4 linked regions of the Pelodiscus sinensis genome follow. The protein of the gene in region 2 interacts with the protein of the main gene of each other region in a biochemical or structural test. Links are inferred from orthologs where the notes say so. Each region holds a gene or a part of one and is shown on either strand. Other genes may lie near its edges. The genes, in order: FGF10, FGFR2, PLCG1 and FGF7.

The links.
Region 1: the proteins of FGFR2 (region 2) and FGF10 are reported together in a solved structure, tested with the Homo sapiens proteins (3 studies listed by BioGRID and IntAct, with this or other methods). The link is inferred for Pelodiscus sinensis from reciprocal best matches to the Homo sapiens genes FGFR2 and FGF10.
Region 3: the proteins of FGFR2 (region 2) and PLCG1 form a complex in vitro, tested with the Homo sapiens proteins (2 studies listed by BioGRID and IntAct). The link is inferred for Pelodiscus sinensis from reciprocal best matches to the Homo sapiens genes FGFR2 and PLCG1.
Region 4: the proteins of FGFR2 (region 2) and FGF7 form a complex in vitro, tested with the Homo sapiens proteins (3 studies listed by BioGRID). The link is inferred for Pelodiscus sinensis from reciprocal best matches to the Homo sapiens genes FGFR2 and FGF7.

Annotation. Positions count from the first base shown.
Region 1 is NC_134716.1:101,213,811-101,221,668, reverse strand, and holds the start of FGF10 (fibroblast growth factor 10 precursor), read right to left. Parts: upstream 3,024-7,858; 5' UTR 2,734-3,023; coding exon 2,406-2,733; intron 1-2,405. UniProt on the Homo sapiens protein: Plays an important role in the regulation of embryonic development, cell proliferation and cell differentiation. Required for normal branching morphogenesis. May play a role in wound healing.
Region 2 is NC_134718.1:57,071,669-57,078,514, reverse strand, and holds the start of FGFR2 (fibroblast growth factor receptor 2), read right to left. Parts: upstream 3,006-6,846; 5' UTR 2,883-3,005; intron 1-2,882. UniProt on the Homo sapiens protein: Tyrosine-protein kinase that acts as a cell-surface receptor for fibroblast growth factors and plays an essential role in the regulation of cell proliferation, differentiation, migration and apoptosis, and in the regulation of embryonic development.
Region 3 is NC_134728.1:25,001,138-25,008,525, forward strand, and holds the start of PLCG1 (1-phosphatidylinositol 4,5-bisphosphate phosphodiesterase gamma-1), read right to left. Parts: upstream 3,032-7,388; 5' UTR 3,014-3,031; intron 2,780-3,013; exon of another isoform or gene 2,505-2,779; intron 2,499-2,504; exon of another isoform or gene 2,108-2,498; 5' UTR 1,955-2,107; coding exon 1,753-1,954; intron 1-1,752. UniProt on the Homo sapiens protein: Mediates the production of the second messenger molecules diacylglycerol (DAG) and inositol 1,4,5-trisphosphate (IP3). Plays an important role in the regulation of intracellular signaling cascades.
Region 4 is NC_134724.1:21,760,900-21,768,037, forward strand, and holds the start of FGF7 (fibroblast growth factor 7), read right to left. Parts: upstream 3,001-7,138; 5' UTR 2,230-3,000; intron 1,661-2,229; 5' UTR 1,356-1,660; coding exon 1,070-1,355; intron 1-1,069. UniProt on the Homo sapiens protein: Plays an important role in the regulation of embryonic development, cell proliferation and cell differentiation. Required for normal branching morphogenesis. Growth factor active on keratinocytes.

The sequences.
Region 1 (7,858 bases), on a different chromosome or scaffold from region 2:
TACTGTACTTTGAATGAATGACTTCATTTAAGCACTCTCAAGTTATTAATTTTGAAGAAACGGTGCCCTTCATTTATTTTATGTATACTTAGCTGACTGCAAACTATAATAGTTTTGTAGTTCTGAATTAATGCTTGATTTACATCACTTGATGATTACCTGTTCTGTTCATTCCCTCTGAAGCACCTGCCATTGGCCACTGTCAGAAGGCAGGTTACTGGGCTAGATAGACCTTTGGTCCAACCCAGTATGGTCGTTCTGAAATTTTATGTGCTCGGGGAAGGGAGGGGAAAACAGGTAAACAAATCTGTGTTTTATTTAATTTTGGCAGTACAGACAAACATTCTGCAACTCTGAAAATATCTATGTCATGTCAACAAGAATATTAACTACCTTTTAATTTTCTTATGTGGTGGGTGAAAAAGAAAAAGACCTGGGCATAATGCCAAGTGGAGTAAGGGGGAGTTGCTCTGGTTTAAGGAGGGTAGGATTGGGGCTCTGAACATGTGTTTCCCTTTACGTTCTTTCCTCAGTCAGGGACTCTTCTTGCAGGCATTTACATGTATAAGTAACTTTACTCAAATGAATAGCTGCAGTGATTGAAATAGAACTGCTTAAGAAAAGTTACTTTCATATATAAATGTATGCAGACAGTCCCTTAGTACTTCCAGTTCTTCCTGAAGCAATATGCTCAGAGAAAACCTATTTACTTAACAATAGAAGTGTACACAAACATTCAGAAACACGTCTGAGAAACACAGTAGTCTTTAGAAGCATAGTAGTTTCTATTAAGAAACATGGTCCACAGTAACAGCTAGGTACAGACAAAATGAAGCCTTCAGCATATGATTGTATCTAATAAAACTTTTCTATGAAAACTAAAAGACTATATGGTAAAGCCAATCTGCTTTGACAAATAAAGCATTACTAACATAGGTCTAATACTACAGAATTAACAGCTGTGATAATATAAAATATTAAAATAAATTGCTAGCTGTAGCAAGTGGAAGCAATGATACAAGAACGCAAATGAAAAAAATGCCAGTTATGGAGGTGAAAATAAATAATGCAAGGACTGGAGGATTAACTGTCATCTTTTTAAATATATAACACTTCATCCTGCCAAACCACACTCTGTACTTTACTTACTGTTCAAGCAGCTCTCATTTATCTACCCATTTGTTTTTAGTTTAGCACCGTTTCTATCCCTAGGTATATTTGGATTTACAAAAACAACCGAAACCCAACCCGTTGCTTTTCACCAGTAAGATCAAATAAAGTAGCTTTTCTTAACCATTGGTATAGCAGAGCCTACCTTCTTCAACACAGGGATGTAGCCATTGAAACTTACACTGCTATATATTATGCTTTACTACCGTTCCTCCCCTTCAATTTGAGATTATTCATTTCCTTGTCTGCACAAAAATTACATTTCTCACGACAGTCTACCAAAAAGTTATGAATGTTCTATTATTGGAAGCCTAATTAGCATTTAGAGAAACGTTCACTGTCTGGGGTAAACTACAAGTCTTGTGACTTTTACTTTGAAAATATTTCTTCTTTAAGAAACTATGACACTGAAACGAGTGTGAGGTCTGCATTAGTCCAGCCCCAGATGTTTACGATGCAATAGCAGTATAGCAGTGCTGCAACATGAGAGCTTTCCGAAGAAAGAAAGGAGTGCAACAGGACAGCACAAAGCAGCACATATGCTATTGACAACGCAGACATGAGCATCATATTACCAGAGAGAAGGCAGGGCAGACACAAAATAACAGCAGTGGTGCCTTAAAAGTTAACTTCGTGGGCTGCAATCGCTCAAAACCCAACAACATGTAGGGGCAGAAATCAAAATCAGAAAAACACTTTTCACTGGATGGGGAGTGAAAGGATGGCGGGAGGAAAGGGGGGAGGTGTCAGTAAATCTTGTGGAGCTTAAAGGGAGGTGGGGAATCAATGTATTGTTTTAAACTTGAGTTTACATCAAGCCATTCTAATGACAGGGGATAATTGTTTTCAGACACAGTAGAAAAGAGCCTCTCCCTCCCCCTTCTCGCCCCCCTTTACAAATCTTTCTAATTTGCTTTTCTGCCAGCCCGGGAAACCAATTGTGTTCACTCAAACCATTTGCAAAACAAATTTCTAGAGGGAGAGGAGATGTGCCGATATGAGAAGGATGCAGGGAGCAGAGTCAAAAGAGACCTCTACTCCACCTCTTTCTGTCACCTTCCCAAGCAAGTGCTCTTGAGCAGGAAAGGTTTGGCTGGCAGGGTGGCATGTGAGCAAACGAGATGCACTGGTAGTGAGGTGATGCTGGGATGGCTTTTTGGGAGGGAGGAGGGGGTACTGATTTGGCTCCCTCTGGATGGTTCAGTTCCCAGGGGGTGTGGGGAGTCAGTACTTACTGTACGGGCAGTTCTCCTTCTTGGTCCCGCTGACCTTGCCGTTCTTCTCAATCCGGAGAAAGTACTTGTTATAAGAGTAGAGCTTCCTCCAGCGGACATCTCCCTGGAGGTGATTGTAGCTCCGCACGTGCCTCCCCGCGCTGGAAGGAGAGGAGAAGGATGAAGAGGAGGAGGATGAAGAAGAAGCGTTGGTGGCCTCCGGGGACCGCATGTCCTGGCAGATGACAGACCCAGAAGACACCAAGAAGAGCAGCAGGAAGAGGCAGCAGCCGCAGCAAGGCAGGTGGGAAAAGGCTGAGGCACCATTTGTCAGTATCCATTTGCACATTGTACTGAAACGCTGGGCGCTGGAAAATGTCTCATCAGAAGAAACATACTGGAAGGGTAAAACCCGGTAAAAGGCAAGTGGGGAGCGGGGGGCTGCTGCTTCTGGTTAGAGCCCTCTGAGCTCTGATCTGGCCTGAAGTGAGTACACCAACATCCATAACTCAGGGGACAAATCGCCTCAGAAGTTGCTGCCTTTTAATCCTCCGAGTCCTCCCTCACAGAAGAAAGTTGGTGGGGTTTTTGTGTGTGTTGGTGGTGGTGGTGGTGGTTAATCCTCTCTTTTTTCTCTCACCCCCCTCCCCAACCTGGTCTGAGGCTTCCCCGTGGTTAATTCGTTCTCTTCCTCCCTCCTTCCTTTACCATCTTAGATGCAGAAAGGTCTGAAAAATAGATGACAGCAGTGAACGACAGCAAAAACAAATCATGAACACAACCCGGGGGGGGGGGCACTGGAAGGGGTTTCTTGCCCCTATTCTCCCCCTCCCTCCCCACACACTTGATGGTTTTTGCACCTTCTGGTTTCCCCACCCCCTTTCCTTGGCAAAGCCCAAGCCAGTTGTACAACTCGTCCCTGCTCACTGACAGCCCCGAGGAGGCAGTTCCTTTGTTTTGCTTTGAATCCTCCAGAAAGTACCAAAAAGAAAAAAAAATCCAGAGAGAAAACTCCTAACTTCTCTTCCCCCGTCTGGTTGTAAACAGGTTGGAAGCTGTAGCCTCAGTGCATGTCAGTGATTACAAGCAAGAGGTGGGATGTGCCTCTGGTGGTCAACCCTTATTTGCAGGGGGTCAAGCAGCGGTGGGACATCTGAAACCCTTCTGCAGCTGGAGTGAGCAAATGCTTGCTGTGGAGGGAGCCTCCGGAGGGAACTGCCCTTGCTTCCTCCCCGTCTGCAGCAGCAGCAGCCGCCTTCAGCTCTTCGCTAATTGCTCCGAAAGCGTTCTCATCCGAGTGCTGGCCACCAGCATGGCTTGGAGACTCATGCTTTACTAATTTCCCTGTCTTCCAGGCTGAACCAATCCCCTCCAGGGAGCCCCCCTTCTTTTCCTTCCTTTTTTAAGTACTTGTTTTCTAGCGCGGGATTTTATTTTATTTTTTTGGCAGTGAAGTGCTTGAAAGAACCACCTGGAGCTCGTTTCTCTGCTGCTTTCCGCACTCCCTCTCTGGGCTATAGAACGGATGGGGGGGGGGGGGGGAAGACGGGTTAGAAGCATATAGTGCAGAGGCAAGCCCTGAAAAGTTACATTTTATGCTGGTCAAGGAGAGTAAAGGGGAAGAGACATAATTAGCTCCCTTTCCTTCCCCTCTGCCAGCTTCCAGGGAGGTCTCTCCCCTGCTTTAAAGTATCACTGATTTCTCGCTTCCGTTGCTAAAATAAAAAGTTCACACTTTAGCCTACTCTTCCTGTAAAGCCTCTCAAGATTTATCGTGTCTCCTTCTCTGCTCACCCTCCTTGTCTCAAATGAAATCGGGGATCTAAATGACCTAACATTTCTAATTACTAACATGAGTCATTGACTGGATCACGCGTCGGACTTCAAAGAAAAGGGGGCTTTTATAGCGATGGCAAAGTTTTCCCCATAAAATCTGTCTGAAAAGTTTTCTGTGGGTTTCTTTTTACCAACAATTACAGGCACCCCCTATGATGTACTCATTTTTATTACTTAAAGGGGGATCAGGGAGTAACTCTGCTCGTGAACATTCCTTGCACAATATATTAATTGTGCCTCAGCATTCACTGATGTAAAATCATTAGTATAAAATGCAAGATAAGGAGTCACAATGAAATAAAAGAATAGATTACAGACGGGAACTGACATGTGGAAACAAAGTGGGTTATCCTGTGCATAAACATGGAACTCGGCTGAAACAGGCATAGGCAAAGGAAATTATGCTGATCAATAGACTACAAGGGAAAAACAGCATCAGCCATTATATTGTGTATTTGGAATCAATCTTACCTTGAACAGCAGAAAATATATAAAAGACAAATAGTTCTAAAATTAGATTGATTAATTAGGCTGGGCTTTTTAGTATATTGTTAACATCACTGTAGAAAATTAGAAATGATTTTCTCCAATTATGGTGTTTACCCTGTTGCAAAAGAGTCAGTTCTTAAATTTATGTGTTAGATTTAGTGGGTGACATTTAAACAGCCTTAAAATAGAACCATTTAATGCTATAATTAATATGTTTTATAGTGTTGTTTATGTTACTCCAGAATATTTATTTTTCATATTTTACTGTGATAAAGACTTCAGAACATTTTCAGGCTTATTTTGATTTAGGATTTTTTTATAATCTTAAAGAAAAAGACTAACACGGCGACATCTCTATTCTATTCTATTCTATTCTATTCTATTCTATAATGAATGTCTGACAAATTAAAATGTGGCTACCATGTTAATTTTCAGTTTTCTAGCTCATAGTTTTATACCTGGGTTGCCTCAGAAGGATCTGTGTTTCAGCCAGATTTTCAGCTGATTCTAAAAATTTAAAATGACAAGTAATTAAAATACATGTCTTATAAATTGTACATTTGATTAACTTTGTTCTAACAAATATCACAAAATCAGCAGCATTTTTTTTTTTAAAAAAGAGTTTCTCTGTAGTGGGAAGAAAAGTAACAATAGAAGCTTAAAATATTTTTAAAGCCTCACACATGAATTTTTTGCTCATGTGAGAAATTCTGCTAAGATCTATTTGTAACTTCTCTTTGGTTTCATGAATCAAAAATAAAAATTGAAACATTAGAAGTTTCATACTTAATCTAGTTCTGGCAGGTGCAATACTTAGTGCAGTACTTAAAACCACTACAACAGATAGAGTCCTTTTCTATACTGTGTGATGACAGGGAGGGCATTTACAAAACAGAGCCCAAATGAAAAGCCGACATAGCTTTTTAGATTATATCTCATTCCTTTTTCTACTTTCTGTATAGCCTTTCTTTTATAGCACAGTTGAATCCCTAAATACCCCACTACTTTGTATTGTTAGGTCACCTCTTAGGTTAGCCTGAGAAAGCCTGAGAAAAGTTCCACAGGAAAGATGCACTATTTAACGGAATTCAATCTGTCCCAATAGATTTGAATCACTAACATAAATGTATGAATGTAGATTATATCTCTGTAATGAGGCCTGAATCATTCTCAGTTACTTCAAAGGACTGAAATTCAACCTTCCTTTTTAGCAGCAACAATCAGACCTTAATGGGTTCCTTTATTAATTGTTCCACTGCAAAGTTTGAAAAGGAACTAACTTCAGTACAGGTCCTACACTAGAAGTGGTACCTACTGCTTCTAAAACTGTTTCTTTTTTTGCCTCCAGGCTCTTTATGATTTTCACATAGTTTATTTTGTGGCATTCTTATAAACATTCATTAACATCGATTCATCTACATTGAAACAAGCAAAATAGTAGAAAACATTTTTCAGGGTGTTGTTTCAGCAGATCAATTTTCCTAAGAATGTTGGGAGAAATGAAGTACATGCAGGAATTTAAGTTGAAAATATCCATGACAATTTTCTAGCCTCAGAGGGCTGTGTCACATTTTTCTTTTGACAGTAGAGATCTTTTTTACCATATGAATTGCAAGTGTTCCTGTTGCAAGACAGAAATTCATTCTTGAATTCAAAGAATACTCAGGCTTTGCCTATTTTTTATTTCCCTCAAACTATCATCTTTACTTGGTGTTGTCTTTAAGTCTGCAATGTTATTGTCACCATCTGAGTCCCAGGATATGAAACAAAGTGGGTGAGGCCATGTCTTTACTGGACCCATTTCAGTTGCTGACAAGAACAAGCTTTCAAGTTTGTTTTAGGTAATAAACTTGTCAGAGGGAGAGCTCTGTGGAGTTTGAAATTTTGTCTCTTTCACCAACAGAAGTTGATCCAATAATAGATACTACCTCACCCACCTTGTCTATCTTATATCTTTAAGTTATTTTAGCCAGTCGCTCTGGAATACAACCAGATGTTTGTGCAGACTTCGGACTGCTGGACAGTAATCGAGACTATTTGCTGCATTATAATTAGAAATGTGTATTCACCTTATAATCATTAGATTCAATCCTGCTCCCATTCTAGTAGATAGGAATTTTGCCAGCTACTGCAAGGAAAGAAGATTTGATCCAGCGATGTCATTCTTAGAGTGCTGCAAAAATGATGTAGGGAATGCTGTATGACGGTCATGAAGCAAAAAATGCAGTCTGTAGGCCAAATGGAGGCTGCAGAGTTTTGCAGCATGGTATATGATCAATTCCGCTTGTACAGAAGTGGTATGACAGGTAGAATCTCCAAGTCCCGGTAGGCAATAAATACTCTGTCTTAATCTGAGGCAGGCCTGTCAGATAGAGCATTGAATGCTGGATTGTTTACACCATAGGATGCAGTCCCATAAACTAGGGAAGATGTGGGCTGTGGTATTTTCTGTAAGTTAAATTAAGGTTTATGATATGTCACCTTTACGGTTTTCCTATGGGTATGCTTTAGTATAACAAAAATTCTCTCTGTCCTTTTATAGCACTTTTCTGTACATCTCAAGTGCTTTGCAAGAAGGTGAGTAAACATTATTATTCCCATTTTCCATGTAGTGTGCGGTACAGTAGACACTCAGAGTTATAAACACCTTGGGATTTGAGGTTGTAATTCAGAAATGTTCTTCACTCTGAATAAAACATTATGGTGGTTCTTTCAAAAGTTTACAACTGAACACTGGCTCAATACAGATTTGAAACTTTACTATACAGAAGAAAAATGCTGTTTAATTTAAATGAAACAAGCTCAGTATATCTTGTTAAATTTTAAAAGTTTCCTTTTATTTTTCGCAGTTTAACACAGTAGGGTACTATATTTGCTGTTTTTTGGAGGCGGTATCTCTGTCATTGCTTGCTTGCCAACTTCCAGGTCCAAATGATTTGTGTGGTTGATGATCAGTTTGTAACTCTGCTGTTCATAAATCTGAGGTTCTACTGTATAATGAACCTCAATCTAATCCAGTGAGCAGAGCCAGCCCAAGCTACGGGCTGACCAGGCTACCACCCTGGGGCGCCTTATTGTAGGAGGTGCCGCGCGGGGTTGCGAGACCGGGCGAGGGTGGGGCCATGTATGTGCTGGTGCCCGGGGGGTGG
Region 2 (6,846 bases):
TGAGTGGAAAGTGAGCAGAATGAAGTTCTGGAGTATATTACACTATGCAATTTCATCTATGGTATTCCTTGGCAAACTACCACCTGGCAAGATACCATAAAGGCACCCAACTTTACATGCAAAAGATGGAACCAAAGCATTGCAAAAACCCTCTGGAAAAGCTTGTATTGAATGTCTTCTAAGCTAAGGAAATTTAATTTCATAGCAAGTTTCTTGGGGGAAATAGGTAGGGAACGAAGATCGTCATAGATGACAATTTGGAAGTGTCATGATTATGAGAGAGGGCTAGCAGCCGGGGGACTAATGGGTTAACCACACTTAGCCAGGTGGAGTGGCCAATAGAAAAGTAGGTAGGACTTTCAACTGGGACAAAGGAATTTTGTTTTTTCCTCCTTTGCCTCTGGGGGGTTTGCTCTGCAGCTACTGAGAGAGACAAGATTGTCTCTCTCTCCCTCCAAGAAAAGACCCTTTCTTCACTTTCTGTTAGTAGGGTAAAGTTTAGATAAATCCATTAGGTTTTATTGTTTTCTCTTTAGGGATGAGGTCTGATGTCTGTGCACACTTCAAGAAATGGTTGGTTTTTCTCTGTAACTAAGTTCTAAGCCCATGGAGTTTCTCCATGAGTATATCATGTTACTTTTCCATCTAGGCATTAAGCTTTCAACAGGAATATTGTTGTGATGATAAATGTTCTCTTTTTATAGAATCATAGAATACTAGGACTGATAGGGACCTCTAGGGGTCATCAAGTCCAGTCCCCTGCCCTCATGGCAGGACCCAGTACTGTCTAGACCATCCCTGATAGACATTTATCTAACCTACTCTTAAATATCTCCAGAGATGGAGATTCCACAACCTCCCTGGGCAATTTATTCCAGTGTTTGACTACCCTGATAGTTAGGAACATTTTTCTAATGTCCAACCTGAACCTCCCTTGCTGCAGTTTAAGCCCATTGCTTCTTGTTCTATCCTCAGAGGCTAAGATGAACACGTTTTCTTCCTCCTCCTTATGACACCCTTTTAGATACCTGAAAACGGCTATCATGTCCCCCTCAATCTTCTCTTTTCTAAAATAAACAAACCCAATTTTTTCAGCCTTCCTTCATAGGTCATGTTCTCTAGACCTTTAATCATTCTTGTTGCTCTTCTCTGGACCCTCTCCAATTTCTCCATATCTTTCTTGAAATGCGGTGCCCAGAACTGGACACAATACTTCAAGGCCTAACTAGTGCAGAGTAGAGCAGAAGAATGACTTCTCGTGCCTTGCTCACAACACACCTGTTAATGCATCCCAGAATCATGTTTCCTTTTTTTGCAACAGCATCACACTGCTGACTCATATGCAACTTGTGGTCCAAGCTGAATTATTAACCTGGAATTGGTTAATCGTGTGCCCTGATTTTTACTTTAGGGGTGAGATTTCCCAAATGATCTTTCCCTTGATTGCTTTATTTATATTTGGGTGGTGGCAGCGGAAGTTTTATTCCCAAAATTTAGGGTTTTAAGATTTTGGGGGGAAGTTTTGTACCAAAGCCTGGTAGATAAGGTTTTGGGGTACACTTGCAGGCCCCCACTTCTGCATTTATCATGCCAGAGTGGGGAAGGAGCCATGACAGGAACACTTATTTTATTTTTCATCTCAAATACTAATATTTTTACATTTACTATACGAAGGGGGATTCATTAAACCAGAGGGTCTCAAACTTCATTAGACACACCCCCTCTTCTGACAATAAAAATTTCTACATGACCCAGGAGGAGAGACCAAAGTCTGAGTCTTCCTGAGTACCAGTGCCCTGGGGTGCGGGGCCCTGCAATCTGAGTCCCAATACACAGAACTGAAACCCTCAAACATTGGCCTTTGGGCCTTGGTTATGAGCGACGAAGCACTATGGCAGAGGATAATTCAGTATAACATATAAAACATTATTTCATAGATTTTCTTAGGTTCATAAGACTGGCCCCAGGTCTTTTGACAGGTCAACTAAGTCCAGTCCCCGCACTCACAACAGGACTATTCTAGACACTCACTACAGCAATGGAGAGGTGGACTCACTACAGCAATGGGAGAACTTCTCCTGAGAGGCAGTAGCTAAGTCAACAGAAGAATTCTTCCATTTATCTAGCACTGTCTACACAGGAGGTTAGGTTGTATTTTTTCATCCTCCTGAGAGACATAGCTATGTCAATAGTGATAGAGATGTAGCCGTGTTAGTCTGGTGTAGCTGAAACAAAATACAGGACTATGTAGCACTTTAAAGACTAACAAGATGGTTTATTAGATGATAATCATCTAATAAACCATCTTGTCAGTCTTTAAAGTGCTACATAGTCCTGTATTTTGTTATAGCTATGTCAATGAATGATTCAAGTATTGATCAGCCCTTATTCCCATTTGACAGACCAGGAAACAGACACCAGAGTGGTAACTTTTCTGAGGCCATCCAGCAAACTGGTGACAGTGTCAGGACTAGAACATGGTAGTTCCTTGCTCCCAGTACTGTGTTCAAACTAGCCTTTGTTCTAAGATCCTTCCCCCTGGAATTTACCCTGAAAACCACTTTCACGGAACTAACAAACCTATATATTCCCTGCGTCCCCCACTGTTCAGCAAATAAAACAAAATACAATATAAATAAATAAATATTAAATCAAAACATCCAGTCAAAACACAAATGCCACAATAGACTCAGCACAGCATGTACATGCAAAACTGCTGTTTTCACCAGAAGCTTAGGGTATAGAATTATGTATTATATGCAGTTAGGAATCTGCAGGAAAATGTGCTATGAAGATCCTTTTCCATGACTGTCCATGAACTACAATTCACAGAAGGTTTATGGTGTTGGACAAATACAACGTGAAAATAAACTCTACGATACCTGTTTGCTTTCTTCCATTGAATAGGCAAAGGCTAAAAGAATGCCAAACACTCCGTCAGGGAAAGCTTTGCTTCAATAGGTGTGTCTAGGTGTCTTGAACATGTTGCTGCTTGACAGGTCTCCCTTTTTGTGTGGGTGGTGTTCACATAAAAAGACAGACATGAAACTCAGAAATGATATCACAATGCAAAGTTAACTCATGGCATGCCTTAGGGCTGCACAGCACCAAGTAATACTCAGCAAAACAATGCTTGTCATTTCTTTCCTTTGGAAGTCATAGCATCAAATTTACAACAAAGTTCATTTAGCCATTAACCTGTGAAAAGCCCTCATTCTCGGGTGCATGGGGAGAAGTGAAAAATATTATTGGGATGGTTTTGGAAGGGTCAGACCTCCGGGTTTCTGAGAAGAAAGAGATAGTGAATTTTGAGGGCTAAGTCTAGATTAAAACAAGGCATTTGCTTCATTTCCAGCCATCCATGTAGATGTACTAGTTCAAAATCTTCATTCAGGCAAGGGGAGATAAGATTCATACCCAAAGAGCTCATTTCATGTTGAAGCCCTAATAAGCACAAATTGCACCTTTCCTTGTGTGTACTGAGGCAGTGGTTTTAAACTACAGGTTGCAGCTCAGGATTGAGTAGCAGAATGTCTGGCACTGGATCTCGTTGATGCAGTGTGGTCAGTGAGGGTACTAACGCACCCTTCCCACCTGTCCTGGCTCTGCAGACTGCACTGCCCCCCAGAAGTGGCCAACAGCAGGCCTGGCTCCTAGGTGAGAATGGGGGGCAAAAGAGTGCACAGGGCTTTGTGCATTGCTTCTGCCCTGAGCACTAGCTCCATGATCCCAATGGTTAGAACCTGCTACTGGCTGCTTCTGGGGTGCAACATAGTCTGTGGTGCCAGGACAGGCAGGAAACCTACTTGTACCGCTGCAGCACTGACTGGGGGCCACTCGAGATAAGCTCTTCCTGGCCTAGCCCTGCTGCACTCCCAAAACTGAAGCTCTCATCATCAGCCCACACTTTAGTCAAATTATGTTGGGTCACAGGCATCAATTTTCATCAGCTGGATCATGAGAAAAAAGTCTGAAACCCACCGTGCTAGAGATCACAAACTACTGATTGCTGGAACTGGGAATTAGCCCCAGCATGACCAGCACATTAGTGCTGTCATCCTTGTGTTTTAAACAAAGGAAAGGGGGACAAGGTAGTAAGCACACCTGTTGCCTGGAAGCTGCCTTTCGTTTCCATGCTCTGGTCTTTGTTAGCAAACAGTATAATAAGTAAATATGTTTTGGTTTTGTCTGAGGCAGCTACAACCTCAAGATTTCCACATCTTCTGGTCCATGTTATTTTCAATTTTAAAAAGCTGTATTTCTTGGCCTGGTATCACAGAGAGTGAAGACAGACATTTGTGGGGAAAATGAGACTGAATTCATGAAACCAAATGGCTGTGGGACTGGTAGAGATACCAGGTGAGATTACGTGTAAGTGGTGCAGCACAGAACTCACTGCTTCTGGGGAAAGGAGTGCAAATGGCTTTAAGCCATCGTGGACCCTCCTGTTCCTGGGCTGCTCCAGGGGAAAGAGGCCTCTCAAGTACTTTAGCAGCCCTCCAGGTCTGTGCTGTGGGCTGTAGAACTACCAAAATCTCAACAGCATTGTGTACCACTATTTTTAGGGGCTCTCTCAAGCAGCATTAGCACATGTATGTCTACCCAGGGAATGACACCTCCCAGCTGCTGCATAGACATGCCACTTCAACGCAGTCCAGGTCAACTATCAAACAACGTTACATTCCAAGTCATTACACCATTAAACAAGATTGTGGTCTCATTGCAGTTTCTAGTGGACAGATATCAAGATCGTAGGATGGCAAAATTAGGACAAATTGACACCTCTAATGGTCCTTTCTGTGGAATGCAAGGAGGGAATGAATAGGTATGGAAACTGAACTGCTACACTGTGCTATAGGATGGTTCTTCAGTCCCAGGTGAAACACATTTCTGCAGACACACAGGCAGTTTAACATGCAGCTGCATGTGCTGTACCTGTTCCACAAATAAACAGAGGTTTTTAGTTGTCAGACTGCCAGTCCAGCACTTTACATGATCTCTCTACTATAAATTTTAATGATACATCTAAAGGATTCCACTTTATTTAATAAGCAATATCTTTAACAGTTAGTTGTGCTTGATTTCTTTAAAAAAAACTAGGACAGCGAGAGTCAAAACAAAATTTGATCCAAAATGTATATTCCTTTATGGTGGGAAAGAACTATTTTTTAACTCTCAGTGGCTGACAGGAAGCACTTTCCTCTGCAGACAGGACAGTACTGCGGCTATCCAAGAGGCTACGGTGAGATCATCACTGTCTTTCACCACCAGTAATGTGGCAGTGCTCATTAGGTGAACTGAGTGTCTATCCTTTGTCCCAACACAGTACTTAATTAGGCACATGCTTAACTTTAAATATGGGAGTATCTCATTGGTTGCCACAACTCACATGGTTTAAATATAAACACAAAAAATGCAAAAAAAAAATCTACTTGTGACATTTCAGGATGAAAAGGCAAGGTAAGAAATGTTTCTAGTTCCCTAGAGTTATATAACAATTAAAGAAAAGGAAAAGCACCACTTTAAGGAAAGTAAAAGTAAAACAGTGAAAAATAAAAAAAATAAACCCAGGGACCCAAGAACTTAAACAAGGGTCCAGTTGAACACAAAATCCTGATAAGGACTCACTCATGTCTAAGCAAATGAATAAATATTCTTACCCATTCTCTCTCCTTATCTGGTAAGATGTTTCTAACAAAACCTGTTTTCAGAATAAAGATATTGGTGATGTTTTTATTGCCATCATAGTCCATCCAAGATGATGCATCTGGTTTGAGAGTCACAGAAATATTCTTGTTAAAAATGCTGCCAAAAAACCTAAATGAAAACAGCACACCCATTTTGCAGCATTATCAGGATTTTTTTCCAGGGGGTGTTTATATGGACTAAGATTCATTTAACAAGGCAAAAGTTGGAGCTTTCACATACTACATTATGTCTCTGAAGGTTCTCCTGACGAGGGTTAAGTCTTTATACCACTTCCAAGTGAAGCAGCCAAGAAAAAGAAGAAACAAATGCTGCTGCTGCTGCTACTACTACTGAGTACAGAGGCCTCCTTTTCAAGAAATGTGATTTATGGAATGAAGTTCCTGGCATGTCTGCCACAGGGTGTCACAATGTGTGTCTAAAATCCAAGGCTGAAATATGATCCTTATTCCTTCCAAAACACATTGTGGCTTCTAGCAAGTTCTTTTGAAAATTATAAGCAATCTGTTTCTCAGGAGGCTGTATTCTTTATGCCTCTTACATTATGAAGGGTGTATTCATTATCCCTTTTCTTTTTCAGACCTACTTAGAATATTTCTGGGGAATCAGAAGAGGTTTCTTTCTAATTTCATGTGAATTTAGTGGTTGTGAAAGCTGCTTTATAAAACCCTAGACACTTGTTCTTTTTTCTTTCTTGTTAACCAAAGATCTGATACAATTTGGACAGCAGCAGAGCAAATCACTCCACACTGCCATATCTACCTCTCGATACAGACCAAAACACCTCTCCTTGTCAAAGGGTAGCCTCTCAGCGGCCCATTCGTGTGCAGTAGATACTTGCCCACTGGGGAACTGGAGGGAGATCATCAAAGTCAGTTCACATAAGTTATCAAATGGTGACTAATAACTCAAAATCACTTCTGACCTTGAGCTGAATTTGAACTGTTCATTTAAAGAGCTTCAACACCTAATGCTCAATCTCTCTATTCTCTTTCATTTGGGGCAAAAGCTTTATATTAACCTTTTCCTAAATTACATTATGTATCTGCAATATATTGTGTGTTACATACTTGTCTCTCACTCTGCTACTTGCTGTGAAGCACTGATTCTTTCAGAAACTCAGATCTAAGAACCAGTGAA
Region 3 (7,388 bases), on a different chromosome or scaffold from region 2:
CCCAAGTGTTTTTCCTGCCTCGGGTGCTACATGTGAAAACAGAAGATTTTATTGGATTGCCTTCTGTAAAGATTTTTTACAGAGCTTAGCTATCCCTCTGATACAGAGGTGCTGTCAGTAAAGATATCAAGAGAATCACAGACTTCAGTCTTATCCTAAGTCTCTGCAGTCATTAACCAAGATGAAAGTTAAATATCACCCAGCTTTCTAGAGTGCTATCTAATTTCTACAGCACCCATCACCATAGTATCTAAACACTATTAAAACCACTATTTACTTATGATCCATGCGAACTGATCAAATAGCAGATGGTTAGCTTATGGACAGAAATGTGTCAGACTGCAGAAACCAGATATCCTATTAATGATCAAGCTCTGGTTCAGGAAGGAGACAGGAGAGAACTGCTCTTCTTGAGAAATCAATGTCGATGCTCAATTTGTACTAAAAACATGGCAGGGACACAGATACAAAAAGGACGCACCCCTGATTTTAGACCCAGCCTATCCTATTTTTATGGGAACCAACTTGATACCAAATGACAGTCCCTACTAATAATGCATATCAGACTACTAGCCATATTAGTATTTTACAATTTAGCTAGTACAGTTTATGAGAGGATTACAACATATCAATCCATCACGCAGTTAGTTGTGTCAACATCTGCTTATGTACCTGCAAGTGAGAGAAATTAGGCACTAATAGCTTATCTGGCAGATAAGCGTTCTTGTTTTGCAGATTATCATCAAGCTCCAGGAAAATGAAAAGCAGCAGAGGAGTCACTACCCACAATGTTAATTTTTCAACTGTATCTGGCACAGAAATCCATCTCTCCAGCCATCCACTGCTTCAGGTATGACCTCACTGCAGTAATCAAAATCAGGGCTGGACCTACCAACTCTGTCCATAACTTTAAATACCAGAGTAAACAAAGCAACCAACTACTTCATGGCTTTAAGATAAAAATTAGGTCTGCAGACAGTCAAGAATTTCCATGTAACTGGCTAGACTACTGTCCTCTTAAGCAGGCATGGATAATAAAAGGAGTTTGTATCTACATGCAGCACAGCTCCCACTCAATCAACACACAAATCAAAGATGGTAGGATATATGGGCAAGGGAATACAACTTGCTAAAAGTGGAGCAAGAGTTAAAAATCCAATCACTCTCCAAAGGCTTCAGCCGTTTTTGGATCATTCGCTTTTGCAAGTAAAACACAAAAACTTCACTGTAATTTCTCTCTCTTCTCTCCCCCACCCCCATCTCCCGCGCATGCATGCACAGGTACTCAAGACCATGAGAACCTAGATACATTAAATTACAGTAGCAAGAATGGATAAAAATACTTTTAGTTTTTTTTAAAATCCCGAGGAAACAGGAAATCTATTTTTCCTCTTACGTTATGCTGCAATTTTAGGAGGTGGGGCAGGAGACAGGCAAAATAAGAAGGGCCAAAACAGATTGTCAGATAATCAAGACAGATGCACTTGCAATTCCACTCTCAGATCAGTAATGTAAATGGGGGGGGGGGGAGGAGAGAGAGAACAGCAGGCATTTTTTAAAATGGATATTTCTTTAGGACAACTTCCACTGCTGTATCTAGTTCCCAGGGCGCCTCACTTACACCGAACGCAGCCCGCCTCCGGCCCATGCCAAGCGCCAGGCACCCGCAGGCTCCTAAGCCCTGCTCCGAAAGAGGAACGAGACGCAGCCAGGGTTAGCCGTTTAAAGAGAAGAAGGATCCAGGCAACTTACTCGCCCCTTCGACCTTCTCCGAGCCCCGGCTCCAAGTGATCTGCCGCGTTTCGAGCTTCACCTGGAAAGTTTTCCTCTCCGGCCGCTGGGATTTTTTGGAGTAAAACAAAGTCATGACGGTGCCCACTTCCAGGCTCCGGCAGAGGTGCACCACCTCCGCTTCGCTCGGGACGCCGGGACCATTGGAAAAGGCAGACGCCATGACGCCCTCCGCCGCCTCCTTCCCCGAATGCGGCGAAATCTCCAAACAAAAGGGAACTGCCGCCCTCCACGCTCCCCGCTGGTGGGACTCAGCGCGCAAACAATCCCCGCCGCTGCTTCAGTGCATGGCGCCGCGGGGCAGGGCTCTCCCTTCCTACGGGGGGAAGGGTGTTTTACTGGGGGGGAGGCTAGAAGGGCAAACGCACAACCCGCTCCCGTCCCCCGCTCCCGGCTCTTCGCACTCCGCCGAGCCGCAGAAACTCGCCCCTCTCCCGCTCCGAATCATGCACCATATTTGTTCTCCTTCCCGAGCGGGCTCCAAAGCGAAAGCGGGCGGGCACGAAGCATTCCCCGGCCCCGCGGCTTGCAGAGCGCGCCCGGGGGAAGGACCCTCGGGCTGCCTTGCGCTGTGGGGCCCTCGCTTACAGTCCGTCCCCCCCGCACGAGCTCGCTTTCCCCCGCAGCTGGCGGCTCGCCCCCTGCCGCGGCCGGAGCCGGATCAGCTCTCCCGAGAGCTCGGGAAGAAAGGACTGAAGCAGCCAGCAGCCTGCCTCTTTCACCCTCCGGGGCTCTTCCGCGCCAGCCGCAGCGGGGATTACTCCGGCCCCTCCTGCTCCCGGCACGTGCATTAGGAAAAGGAGGCCCCCTCCTCCCTCCCTTTGCCAGCAGAGCCGGGAATGGAGCTTCCGCGGGGCAGAGCGCGGATCAATGGTGCGCGCTGTCAGGCCGCGGGTTTTCCGCCCCTGCGGGCTCACGTGCCCCCTAGGGCAGTGCCATATGGCGAGCGCGCAGAGGCGACGGTCGCTCCTCTCTCCCTTAGCCCGCCCCCTCCCAGCCTTCGTGTAAAACAAAGCAGAGCGGAGGAGCCAGCGAGCAGCTTCTTAAAGGGACCAGGCCCTTTCCCTCCGCCCCCCGCCGGTTACCTCGTCTTGGGTGGGGGTCTCCGCTTCCTGCCGCCTCCACAGAGGGGCGCTTCTAGCGGGAGAGGCCTGGCTGGGGATCCGCTATCTCACACACATCCGGGAGGGGCATGCAAGTGAGAGGCTGGAGGGGAACCCACCTGTAGGGCTGGGAGAAAGGGAGAAGGAAAGCGGTCCCCAGTCCAAATGGGCTCTGGGAAAGCGCCCCCTTTCCCTCTGCACAGTCACATAGACAGCCAGTCAACGAGGTGCTGCTCAGGGCTAGTGGCAGTCTGGCAGGGGGGATGCCTCCTTCTCTGCTCACGCCAGCCCCATGGCTTGGCTCCCAGGCTGGCTCTGCTCCTCCAGCTGCAGAACAAGGCTGTGTCCTCCTACGTCATCGTGCTGGCACACACACCTCACCCGCCAGGGCTGAAGGAAGACCAGGGAGTTGAGAAAGTGGACAATTGGATCAGGACCTATTACTGGGTCCCCAAACAGGGATACCTAATGCCAGCTATCTGGGGACGAGCACAGCAGAGCCCCCCCTGCAAGCCACATGCACATGCAGCAGCTTCTAGGGCTGGTGCATGAAGACCTTCCCTGTCAGGGCTTCTCCCACATATTGTGACATTCACACGGCTCCCCACTGGTGTGTTCTTCCACGCTCTAGGAGGATGATGAGGTCATAACAAAGAATCCCTCTGGGCTGAACATGAGCATGAGACTACCTTTGTGTTAGGCTAGCAGGACAGCAGCTCTGAGGAGATTCAGGGCAGGGGGCCCTGGAGTTCGATGGACAAGGGGCAAATGGGCAAACTGAGAAGGGAAAGGCCTGAACTCACCCACCAGGTCAGTGGCCAAGCCAGGAAAAGATCAAGAATTCCTGATCTCCCATCTAGTGCCCTTACCAGTAACTGCACTGAAAGTGGCACTGGTCTGGGAGGCAGGAGGTCTGTGTTATCATCATTGGTATTATAGTAGCACGTAGAGGCCCTAATTCACGCTAGGGCCCCATTGTGCCAGGGGCTGCACAAATGCACGGTAAGGGGCAGTCCCTGCCCTGAGGAGCTCCCAAAACAAGACAAAGTGTGAGAGGAAAGTGACACCAGCTCCATTTGACTAACAGGGAACAGCAAGACAAAGAAATTAAGCCTCAGATGCTCAAAGGTATTTAGGTGCCTGACTCCCATTGGTGGCTAGCCCACCATTGATATCAATGGGAGTTAGGACCCTAAACACCAATGAGCCTCAGTGGCTTGGCCCCCAGCATAGAGAGAGTCTGGGGCAGAGGAGGGACTGAATGCAGCTCTTCTGAAGCACAGACAAGTCCCTTAATCAAGAGCCCATCCTGTCTGTCTGTCTTTTCCCCTCCACCTGTGTCCACTAACCCCAAACCGGACACAGCTTCCTTTGCCGGTCTGCTCCATGCCATAATGTTTCGTGCAGAGGAGAGAGCAGCTGTCCTCTTCATGCCAGGTTTGTGTTAGCATCCGCTCGTGCCAGGCCAATTGTGCAGTGCTACATCCTCATTCAGGCCAGTGGCAGGAAATTAAACAAAGCGAGGCTTAGTGTGGGGATAAACAGTTGCTTTAGAAAGTATTTAAGGGCTGTTTGCCACTTTCATTCTTTGGAAGCCCCCTGACTTCCCTTGTCCTCCTCAACCCCAAATCAGCCAGACACAACACGGTGACACTGGGGCAGGGCAGGGCAAGTTTTCATCAGTCCTGGTGGGGTTTTAAGGATATATCAGCTTTTTGCTCTCATTAAATTGGTTAACAGCTGATTCCTAACAGCATTTGCATAACCAGCACAGGGAATGCTAATAATGCACACACTTTTTAAGCAGTAATTGGTAAGAATTACTGTGGTCCAGTTTTAAAGGCTGGTCTATCTTTTGCTCCTTACACAAGAAAATAAACAGCATTGGCACCGTGGGAGTCCACATCACCCTGTCTACTTGAGGCCAGGCCTAGCTATATACATACTGCTGCTCCGACTGAGTCCTACAACATAGAACACAAGAGGGCTCACTACTATTTAAAAGAAACAAAATACAGGACTATGTAGCACTTTAAAGACTAACAAGATGGTTTATTAGATGATGAGCTTTCGTGGGCCAGACCCACTTCCTCAGATCAAATAGTGGAAGAAAATAATCACAGCCATATATACCAAAGGATACAATTTAAAAAATGAACACATATGAAAAGGACAAATCACATTTCAGAACAGAAGGAGGATGCGGGGGAGGGGGAAAGGAAGGTGAATGCCTGTGAGTTAATGATAGAGGTGGGGAAGGGTAGATGTCTGTGAGTTAATAGTATTAGCTATTATATAATTGGGGAAGCTATCTTTGTAATGGGTAAGATAGCTGGAGTCTTTGTTCAGCCCCCCGCGGAGAGTGTAGAATTTTAGCATGAATGCCAGTTCAGAGGATTCTCTTTCAAGTACAGATTTGAATGTCTTCTGAAGTAGGATGCAGGTGAGCAACCAGACAACTCTCCAAATGTGATTTGTCCTTTTCATATGTGTTCATTTTTTTAATTGTATCCTTTGGTATATATGGCTGTGACTATTTTCTTCCTCTTCTATTTGATCTGAGGAAGTGGGTCTGGCCCACGAAAGCTCATCATCTAATAAACCATCTTGTTAGTCTTTAAAGTGCTACATAGTCCTGTATTTTGTTTCAGCTACACCAGACTAACACAGCTACATTTCTATCACTATTCTACTATTTAAAAGGATATTCCCCAGTTACTATACTTCACAGCGGTGGTGTCCACCATGCTAGCCACATGTGGCTATTTGGCCAGCTGAGTGTGGCTAGTTTGCTATAGCAGTAGCCACTGTAGTGACAACTGCTTCAGAACTGGTTGGACACCATGGCTGCGTCTAGACTGGCAAGTTTTTGCGCAAAAATTTGCCAGCTGTCTACACTGGCCACTTGATTTTGCACAAAAGCACTGATGTTCTACTGTCTGAAATCAGTGCTTCTTGCGCAAATGCTTTGACATTCCCGTTTGGGCAAAAGACCTTTTCCGGAAATGTTTTTGCGCAAGAGGGCCAGTGTAGACAGCTAAAAACTGTTTTGCGCAAAAAAGCCCCAATGGCGAAAATGGCAAGCCGGGCTTTCTTGCGCAAAACCGCGTCTAAAAAACTGCTTTTGCGGAAAAGCGTCCGTGCCAATCTAGACGCTCTTTTCTGCAAACGCTTTTAATGGAAAAACTTTTCCGTTAAAAGCATTTGTGGAAAATCGTGCCAGTCTAGATGTAGCCCACGGCTGTACAGAGACAGGGAAGGAAAAGCCAATGAGGTTAAGGGCCTGCCCCTACTAAAATAACTAGGAAATGTTGCCCTTCATTGCACTGCAAGTACAATCAAAGCTTAGTATGATGTGCCAAATATGGGAGAGGAATTGGTTCCCAATGCCAGGTTTGAAATTCCTAGGATTCCTGGCACCCAGATCTGTGCTCAGATCACTAACCCAGGCTTTATGCAGTACGGCCCTGTTTCAGCACGCCGCAGCTTGTCATTAATGTCTCTCCCAAACCTTTACTAGCATAACAAAAATACAAATCCTGCCCTTCCCATTTTGATAGGGAGGGACAGCCTTGGGTAAACACAACTGGCGCGGTTCTGCTGGGGCACAAAGGTGCAGAAAGTCCTAACTGCGTGTGGTTCTGAAGCACAACTCCACGGAAACCGACTATGAACCACAACTGCTGAGATACGCCAGCACATGCTTGAGCTACCACAGTACTGAGGCTGCAGAGCAGCAATGCTGCTACTCCCTGGCCTATGGGCAGATCTTTTCCCTATCAGCCCACACAGGGAATTCCTTCTTCCAGATGGGGTACTGAGAGCAGGTGCACAAAAGTCAGCCTGACTGTGGCAGGAGCATTCTCCAGAGTATCTCCATGTGAAACATTATCCAGTTGCCATGTGCAATCATGATATTTGCATGTGCAGTTAGGCATGCATTTTGCACATGCAGCTATCAGGAATTCTGCATGGGTTGTTGTTTTTTAAAACATGCTGTTCATTGGCAAAAGAGAGAGTTTCTATTTACAGTCACAAAGTCAAATGTGACATGAAATTACCTGCACTGGTGTGTGAGGAAAAGGAGTAAGCAGCCGGATAAAACAGAGGTGCTTTGTACAAATCTTCAATGTACAATGGTCTCAAAATGTTCCATTTGGGATTCAGACCTGGGGGAGGCAATGGTGTAAATGTGAACTACTTGATGAACTGGCCCCAGGAGGGCTCGGCCCCAGGATTTTCTTCACCCAAAGCATGAACTGCTAGTTCTTGAGTTAAAGAGCAAAATCCCCTCAGTTGGCAGCAGTAACAGAGCCATTACCCTCTTCTGTGGACAGTTGCCTTCCCAACATCAAACCAGAGACAGCAGATTAAAAACCTCAAACTTGCTTTCTGGAAGGCTGCAACGTAACAGCCGTTAGTTCCTACATTCCAGAACCGTAACGCACACGAAGCAAAGCAGGCAGAGAGGCACTGGTCACCCCACTTTACTTC
Region 4 (7,138 bases), on a different chromosome or scaffold from region 2:
GGGAGGGAAAATAAATTTTCAACTGAAAATGACCAATCATATTACAAACTCTTTCACTTTGTTTTTCTTTTGGCTATTATATAATGCTTCCTAATTTATATGGCAAGTAACCCAACAACATTTTTAAACATCACAGGTCAGAGTTTTGATGTTTAAGATGCCTATAAACACTATTCACTGGAAAAACAGATGCCTCTGACACTCTAAAGCAATAATTATTTTGTACTTTTTCTCATTTTAAGCACTAAAATACATAGTTCTCTGTATTTTTATTTTGTTCTGAATTAAAGAAATCACGCACCAATTTTCTTGAAGTAGTTGTGATATTTTCCTAAATTTGCAATACCGTATATAAATTGTCAAATTGGTAAGAACAGCACATGCAAAATATGAAAATTATTTTAAATATTGATATAGGTGAATCAGGATTACTATAAAAAACCATTAGCTCATGTTAAAAGCATAATTGTAAAATTTTACATGTCCACCCTCTCCGGGTGGGTGAACTTTTTTAGAAATGAGAGAAGAGAATATTTTGTCATTATTATAGTAATAATGTGCTGTAAAAGCTATAATAAATTTTGTTCCTAGCCGGCAAATTGTCCAACTGGTTTTGCAAGACAATTTTAATAATTCTTTCCATTAAATGTTCTAATATTGAATATATATTTATTGCTAAATCACACATACTGAGCTTGTAGATCATTTGCGTCCTATATAAATGTGGTTTAATGTTTTATAAGTACTTTATGAGCATAGAGTTTGTGGTTATATTTTTGCAGATGTACAACCTTAATTCACTTGTTAAAATACGCTCTCTGTTTGCTAATAGCTACCAGCTGTAACTAATACATTGGTAGATCTACAACATACTGGTAACGTATTATTTAAAGTGACGCATTTCAAAATCAATACCAAATGTCCTGCTGCATGATTAATTGGAAAACATGTCTAATAGAATGGTCACTGTACTTTACAAAATTATTGTGAAAGCATCATAAATGAAGGGATAAAAAGCCACATTTTAAAATCTTTCAATACAAATTTCAAATGCAGAGACATTACTTACTGTAGTTGTTGTTTGCTTCTCGTGTCCCTTTTATTTTGCCTTGTTTATCAATCCTCATGTACCACTGTGTTCGACAGAAAAGTCTTCTTACTCTTACATCCCCTCCTTCCATATAATCATAGCTTCTGGTATGTCGTTCCGGGCTGGAACAGTTCACATTTGTAGCCATTTGCTCTGGAGTCATGTCATTGCAAGCTAAAGATATAGTGCCCACTAGAAAGATAATGTAAAAATATGATCTGTAGAGCAAAGTTGGCAGGATCCATGTCAGTATCCATTTGTGCATTATAGTGCAGTGTTCTGGGTGTTCATGAACAACATAATGAAAATTAAATCTCAAGTAGATCGTTGCTTCTAGGTCATTGACCTGCCTTCTGTCTTTACAACGAGTTGTAGATTGATTTAATTGAGATTGCTTCCTCTTCCAGAATTCTGATCCTTATTCCTTAATAGTTACTGATGTTGAAACAGGATAGCTCCTTAAATATCTTTTCAGTCAGGATATCCTTTAAAGAAACAGGTTATAATAACCTTGGCTGTCATGACCTTCTGTACTACTTGATTTTGCTGCTTGCACTGAAAGTAAAAGATCTATGAGAAAAGTGTCATGGATAAATTTTTATGGTCAATTGTTACACGTGTGCAACTGTAATATATGCTGTATGACTACTGTAGCGTAGCAAAAAAACCTTTTTAGCTTTATGCAGTGACACTGTTAACGTCTTAAAAAACATACATAAGCCCACATGCAAGACATATCTACTATGAGATCTTGATAGCAGCACTCATTTGAACTATGTACAATTCTCTCTTTGTACTTCAGTAATAAGGCTTTCAAAAAGAAAACTATTGATTTAGCTGAGCTACTGAACTAAGTAGACTGCTATTGCATCTCTTACATTTGATTACTTCATGCCTATACCTTTGGAGTTAGCCACATTCTTCCTAGAGAACTGCCCACACTTCTCTAGTTTAAATGTAAAGACAGACCAAATGTTCATGGGACTCTATTTTTATATATTATACATAATTCAGTTACTTGTAGATGTTTAAAGAAAATGTCAAGAAGGTTTATTCTAACATACATCAATCAAGAAAACTGAAAAAGTTATTAGTTGTTACAATGCCTTGAACATACTTTTAAAGGATAGATAACTTACTTGTTCCTGATAACAGCTGGGTATACAAGTATTCCATTTCTGTTGTCTGCCTTTTGCAACATGAGACTCTCTGCCGTAGCTACAAACTTTCTTAGCTCAGAAAGTCTTCAGCAGAATTATAATTGTTTCCATAAATCAACACGCAAGAGTTGTGGTGTGTGTATGTGCTTGTGCATGCGCGTGTATGTGTTGAGCCTGTTGTTCAGTTCTTTTCGATAAATACCTTTGCTGACCTCACTTGGAAGCAATTAGAATTTAACCAGTCAGCTGTCAGTTGAATGCATGAACAAAAATAAAAGAAGACTTATGTTGTGTAGTGTCCAATGGTCATCAGAGGGAGCTATAAACATACTTTATGCTTTAAATCTCCAAGTATGTACCTACTTTCCAGAAACAGATTTCTGTGATCACTGGGTAACATTTATTTTCATGTCAGTTAAAATGTTTCTTTTCTTTGATTTAGTTCAGTATTCCCTTAAATGCACACATGCATTTCTCCTCCAAATCGTTTATACAGATTAATGGCTACATACTTTTCTTACAGACTTTCCCTTTAGATATCTGAAATACTTGGATGCATTATTTAGTGAAAGTGGGAGGCATGGTGTCTATTATGGATTGTGTGTCGTGTTTTGTATTGTAGACGTGTAAATAAGGAACAACTGCATACAAAATACAGAAGGTGCCTATTTCATGACTGTGGTGGACAAAGTGCAATGTATGTTCTAAATCTAGCATTCAGTCTAGACCTTTTTCAGCACCTGGAGAAAAATGTAATAATGATATTCCAAATTTTCCCCCAATGAATACTTACTAGAAATTGCAGCATAAGATTTAAAAGCTGCAGTGGTACAGATGTTATCCATATTAGCACATTATTAGCACACATTAGCGTGCATCTAAAGGCTTAAGTTTTGGGGAGGCAAATATAACAGCTACCTATTATGCTGTTTCTACATATTTGTTTTCTACTTTTGGCATGAGTCTGCTGTCCAAAAATCTCTGCTCCATGTCATCCTTAAAATCTTCTTGTGATTTTGGTGAAATCCAGCAATTACAAAACATGTTGAAACTCTGGTATTCATTAAGCATAGCAAGCCTCTTAATCTTGTTTGATTCTATTCTTTATCTTACAGGACATCTCTGCAATACTTTAGAAAACAGGAATGGAAAAATCTTATAATGCACTGTCCTAAACAGGAAATTGCTTACCTGTATTTGTAGATTTCTGAAAATAGTATTGTAATTGTAACATAGCTATGGGTACCCTGATCCACAACTTTCTCAGGAGAGGTGGGGAATAATTTAGTGTATTGGAATTCTTAAACTTGATTGAAAACTTGAGCTAGTTAATAGCCATTAAGAACAGTAAGAGATAATGTATGCCACTTAATGGTGAGAAGGGTTTAATGATTCATGACTTTGGAGTGTTTCAAATTACTCACCGGTGGGAGAAATCAGAGGACCCTATGTCACCATGCTTGCCCTCCCATCTTCCCAAACCACATGCAAACTCAGAGGATATGAGTAACTTCCCTTCACAAAGTTCTGATGCTTCAGCTTTTCTCAGAGTTCCCTTGGAGCACTCCCTAGGTGCTCACTTGATATCAGTGAGATTTACTCAAAGTAGAGTATGAGAGTAGAACCCCAGGAATTCTATTTTATTATTATTACCTGAAAGAAAAATTATTTACATGAAAATACTTCCATACTAGTGAAGGAAAATTATTTTCTAACTCTCTTAGGGTATGTCTACATTACAGCACTAATTCGAACTAACTTAGTTCAAATTAGTTAATTCAAACTAAGCTAATTCGAACTAATGCATCTAGACTTAAAAATTAGTTCGAATTAGCGTTTTGCTAATTCGAACTAGCATATCCACACTGAGTGGACCCTGAACTGAGGTTAAGGATGGCCGGAAGCAGTGCCGGCAGAGCATCAGATTAGGACTTAGAGTGTGGAGCTGCTGCCTCAGGCTAGCCGAGGGCTGTGTTTAAAGGGACCCGACCCCCACCCCGGACAGACAGTTCTCAGGGGTTCCCCTCTTGCAAAGCAGTCCTGGCTTGGAGTGCCCTGAGTGCCCACACTCGGCACATCACAGCACTCGGCCATCAGCCCGGTTGCACTTGCCGCAGGCTGCCATCCAGAGGGGGGGGTCAATCAAGGGGCTTCAGGAGAACTTCCACCCTGAGCAGCCCGCAGAGCCACCCCAGTCCTCCCCATCGGGGGCTCGTACCCCATTCCTCCCTCGCCTCCTTCCACTTACCCCTCCCTAGCTCCCCTTCCTGATGTACAAAATAAAGGACACGTGTGTTCAAAAATAGAAACTCTCTTTATTGAACAAAACTCGGGGAAACTGGGAAAAGGAGGTAGGAGAGGGGAAGAGAGAGGGTGGGAGAGGGGAGAGCAACTAAAATGATCAGGGGTTTGGAACAGGTCCCACATGAAGAGAGGCTAAAGAGACTGGGACTTCTCAGCTTAGAAAAGAGGAGACGGAGGGGGGATATGATAGAGGTCTATAAAAGCATGAGTGGTGTGGAGAGGGTGCATAAAGAAAAGTTCTTCATTAGTTCCCATACTAGAAGGACTAGAGGACACCAAATGAAATGAATGGGTAGCAGGCTTCAAACTAATAACAGAAAGTTGTTCTTCACAAAGCAAATAGTCAACCTGTGGAACTCCTTGCTGCAGGAGGCTGTGAAGGCTAGAACTAGAACAGAGTTTAAAAAGAAGTTAGATAAAGTCATGGAGGTTGGGTCCATGGAGTGGTATTAGCCAGGGGGTAGAAATGGTGTCCCTGGCCTCTGTTTGTGGAAGGCTGGAGATGGATGGCATGAGACAAATGGCTCGGTCATTGTTTCAGTCCATCCCCTCCAGGGTCCCTAGTGTTGGCCACTGTCGGCAGACAGGCTACTGGGCTAGATGGACCTTTGGTCTGACCCAGTACGGACATTCTAAACTCAGGGCTCAGGGTCGGGGGTCTCAGTGGACCACCCTGATTTTTCATGCAAACCTGCTCCCGGGTGGCCAGGCTGGCAGCTCCCCTGCCCTAGATGGCCACTTTCCTGTGCCTAGTGCAGAGGTCGTGGATGAGGACCACGATCTCCGCACTAAACCAGGGGGGCGCCCGCCTCTTGCGGACCCGGGCAGGCTCCCGGGAGTCGCCAGCCTGGTCCCAGGAAGAGGTGGAGGGCTGGGTGGCAGCAGGTGGCTGGCTCGAGCCGTGCCAGGTGCAGGGTCTACTGGCTGGGTGCTGGAAGGCTTGCACCTGGCACGGGCACCGTAGCCAGCCCGTGTCCCTTTAAGGGCTCCGGGGCCGGGAGGGGGGCAGATGAGTTTCCCTGGTGGTGCCCAGAGTGGCCGCTGGGGAGGGCTAGCCTCCCACTAGTTCGAATTAAGTGGCTACACAGCCCTTAATTCGAACTAGGCGTTAGTCCTCGTAAAATGAGGTTTACCTAGTTCGAATTAAGCGCTCTGCTAGTTCGAATTAAGTTCGAACTAGCGGAGCGCTAGTGTAGCGCCTATCAAAGTTAATTCGAACTAATGTCTGTTAGTTCGAATTAACTTTGTAGTGTAGACATACCCTTAGAGTATTTTTATAATTGTTACAAATATACATTTTAACAATGAAGAGAAAAGGAGGCTCATGTAGGAAAATGAGAGCCACACCACACTCCAGCCCAGAAAGGACAACGACAAAGAGGACCAAACATCTAAGTGACAAATTGACTCTAGATTTGAACAATTAATAATAATGTAGTAATTGCATTTATGGATTAATGCACCATAATGGCAGTTATTTATTGAGGGAGGAAGTATAAAAGGTACAAAATGTCTTCAGTCACCTAAGATTTCTGACTAGTTAGTCCCTACTAACATGTGAAACCCATTCAAAATCATTGTGGATTTCAGGCCAGATCCTGAAATTAAGATGATCAAAAAGTCCAATTGATGCTACTATATGCTATCAACAAATGCCCATTCTCATGTTTTGATTCCTTCAGGAGAGACCCAGTAGCATGCACCCATCCTGGCCCACAATACCTGGAACATAAATGGTTCCACTCAACACTTTAAGTGGCTTTTAGTACAGTTCACCTGCAAGGGCCCTGGGGAGTGCCATCCCTGGCATTTATGGATTGAAATAATTTGTCCCTGTTGCAGTGATAGAATAGTCTTATAATAAGTTCCTTCCAAATGGTTCTTCTGGTATCTGGAATTTTGGTGGTTAGGACAGGAAGTGGGGAAGCTGCTCTTGTGATATATTGATTGTGTTAATTTCTATAATTTATTTTGTAGTGACAACTAAGCACTTCCAATAGTGAATCAATCACAACTTTTGAAAAGTAAGATTATGAATATAAGAAAATCAGTCAGTAAAGCACTGAATAAAATGGGGCTAGGGTTTCAGCTACTATACACTGACATACTTCTATTGAAGTCAATGGAGCTATGCTGATGTACATCTGCTGAGGACTTGACCACAAGATCTCTAATAGTGGGCCATGAGAAATTACCAAGAAAAGTGAATTCTAAAGAGGGAGCACTCAGCTGAGAGCCCCCTGCTGTCTGTGGTGGAGCTTTTAAATTTAGGGTCTAAGAGAGAACCACTCATCCACCTGTACTGCTATGCAAAGGTGCAAAGTTGAGAATGTCTTGAATAACCATTCTAGTCTTTAAAGATCTCCATTGATATCTGAAGTGGCAAGCCAGAAGTGAAAGGAAACAAATAGAGACTTTAGCACAGGTATTATTTGTCATGCCAGCTTGCCCCTCAAAGGGGGCAAGTTCTACTTGATCTTAAGTGTCTAGGTAGACTTCAAGAATAGCCCTATAGTATAGCCTATTGCAAGGCTGAACCCTTGAAAATGATGCAAATAGTGCCTCCTCCAACTCACTTAGGCGT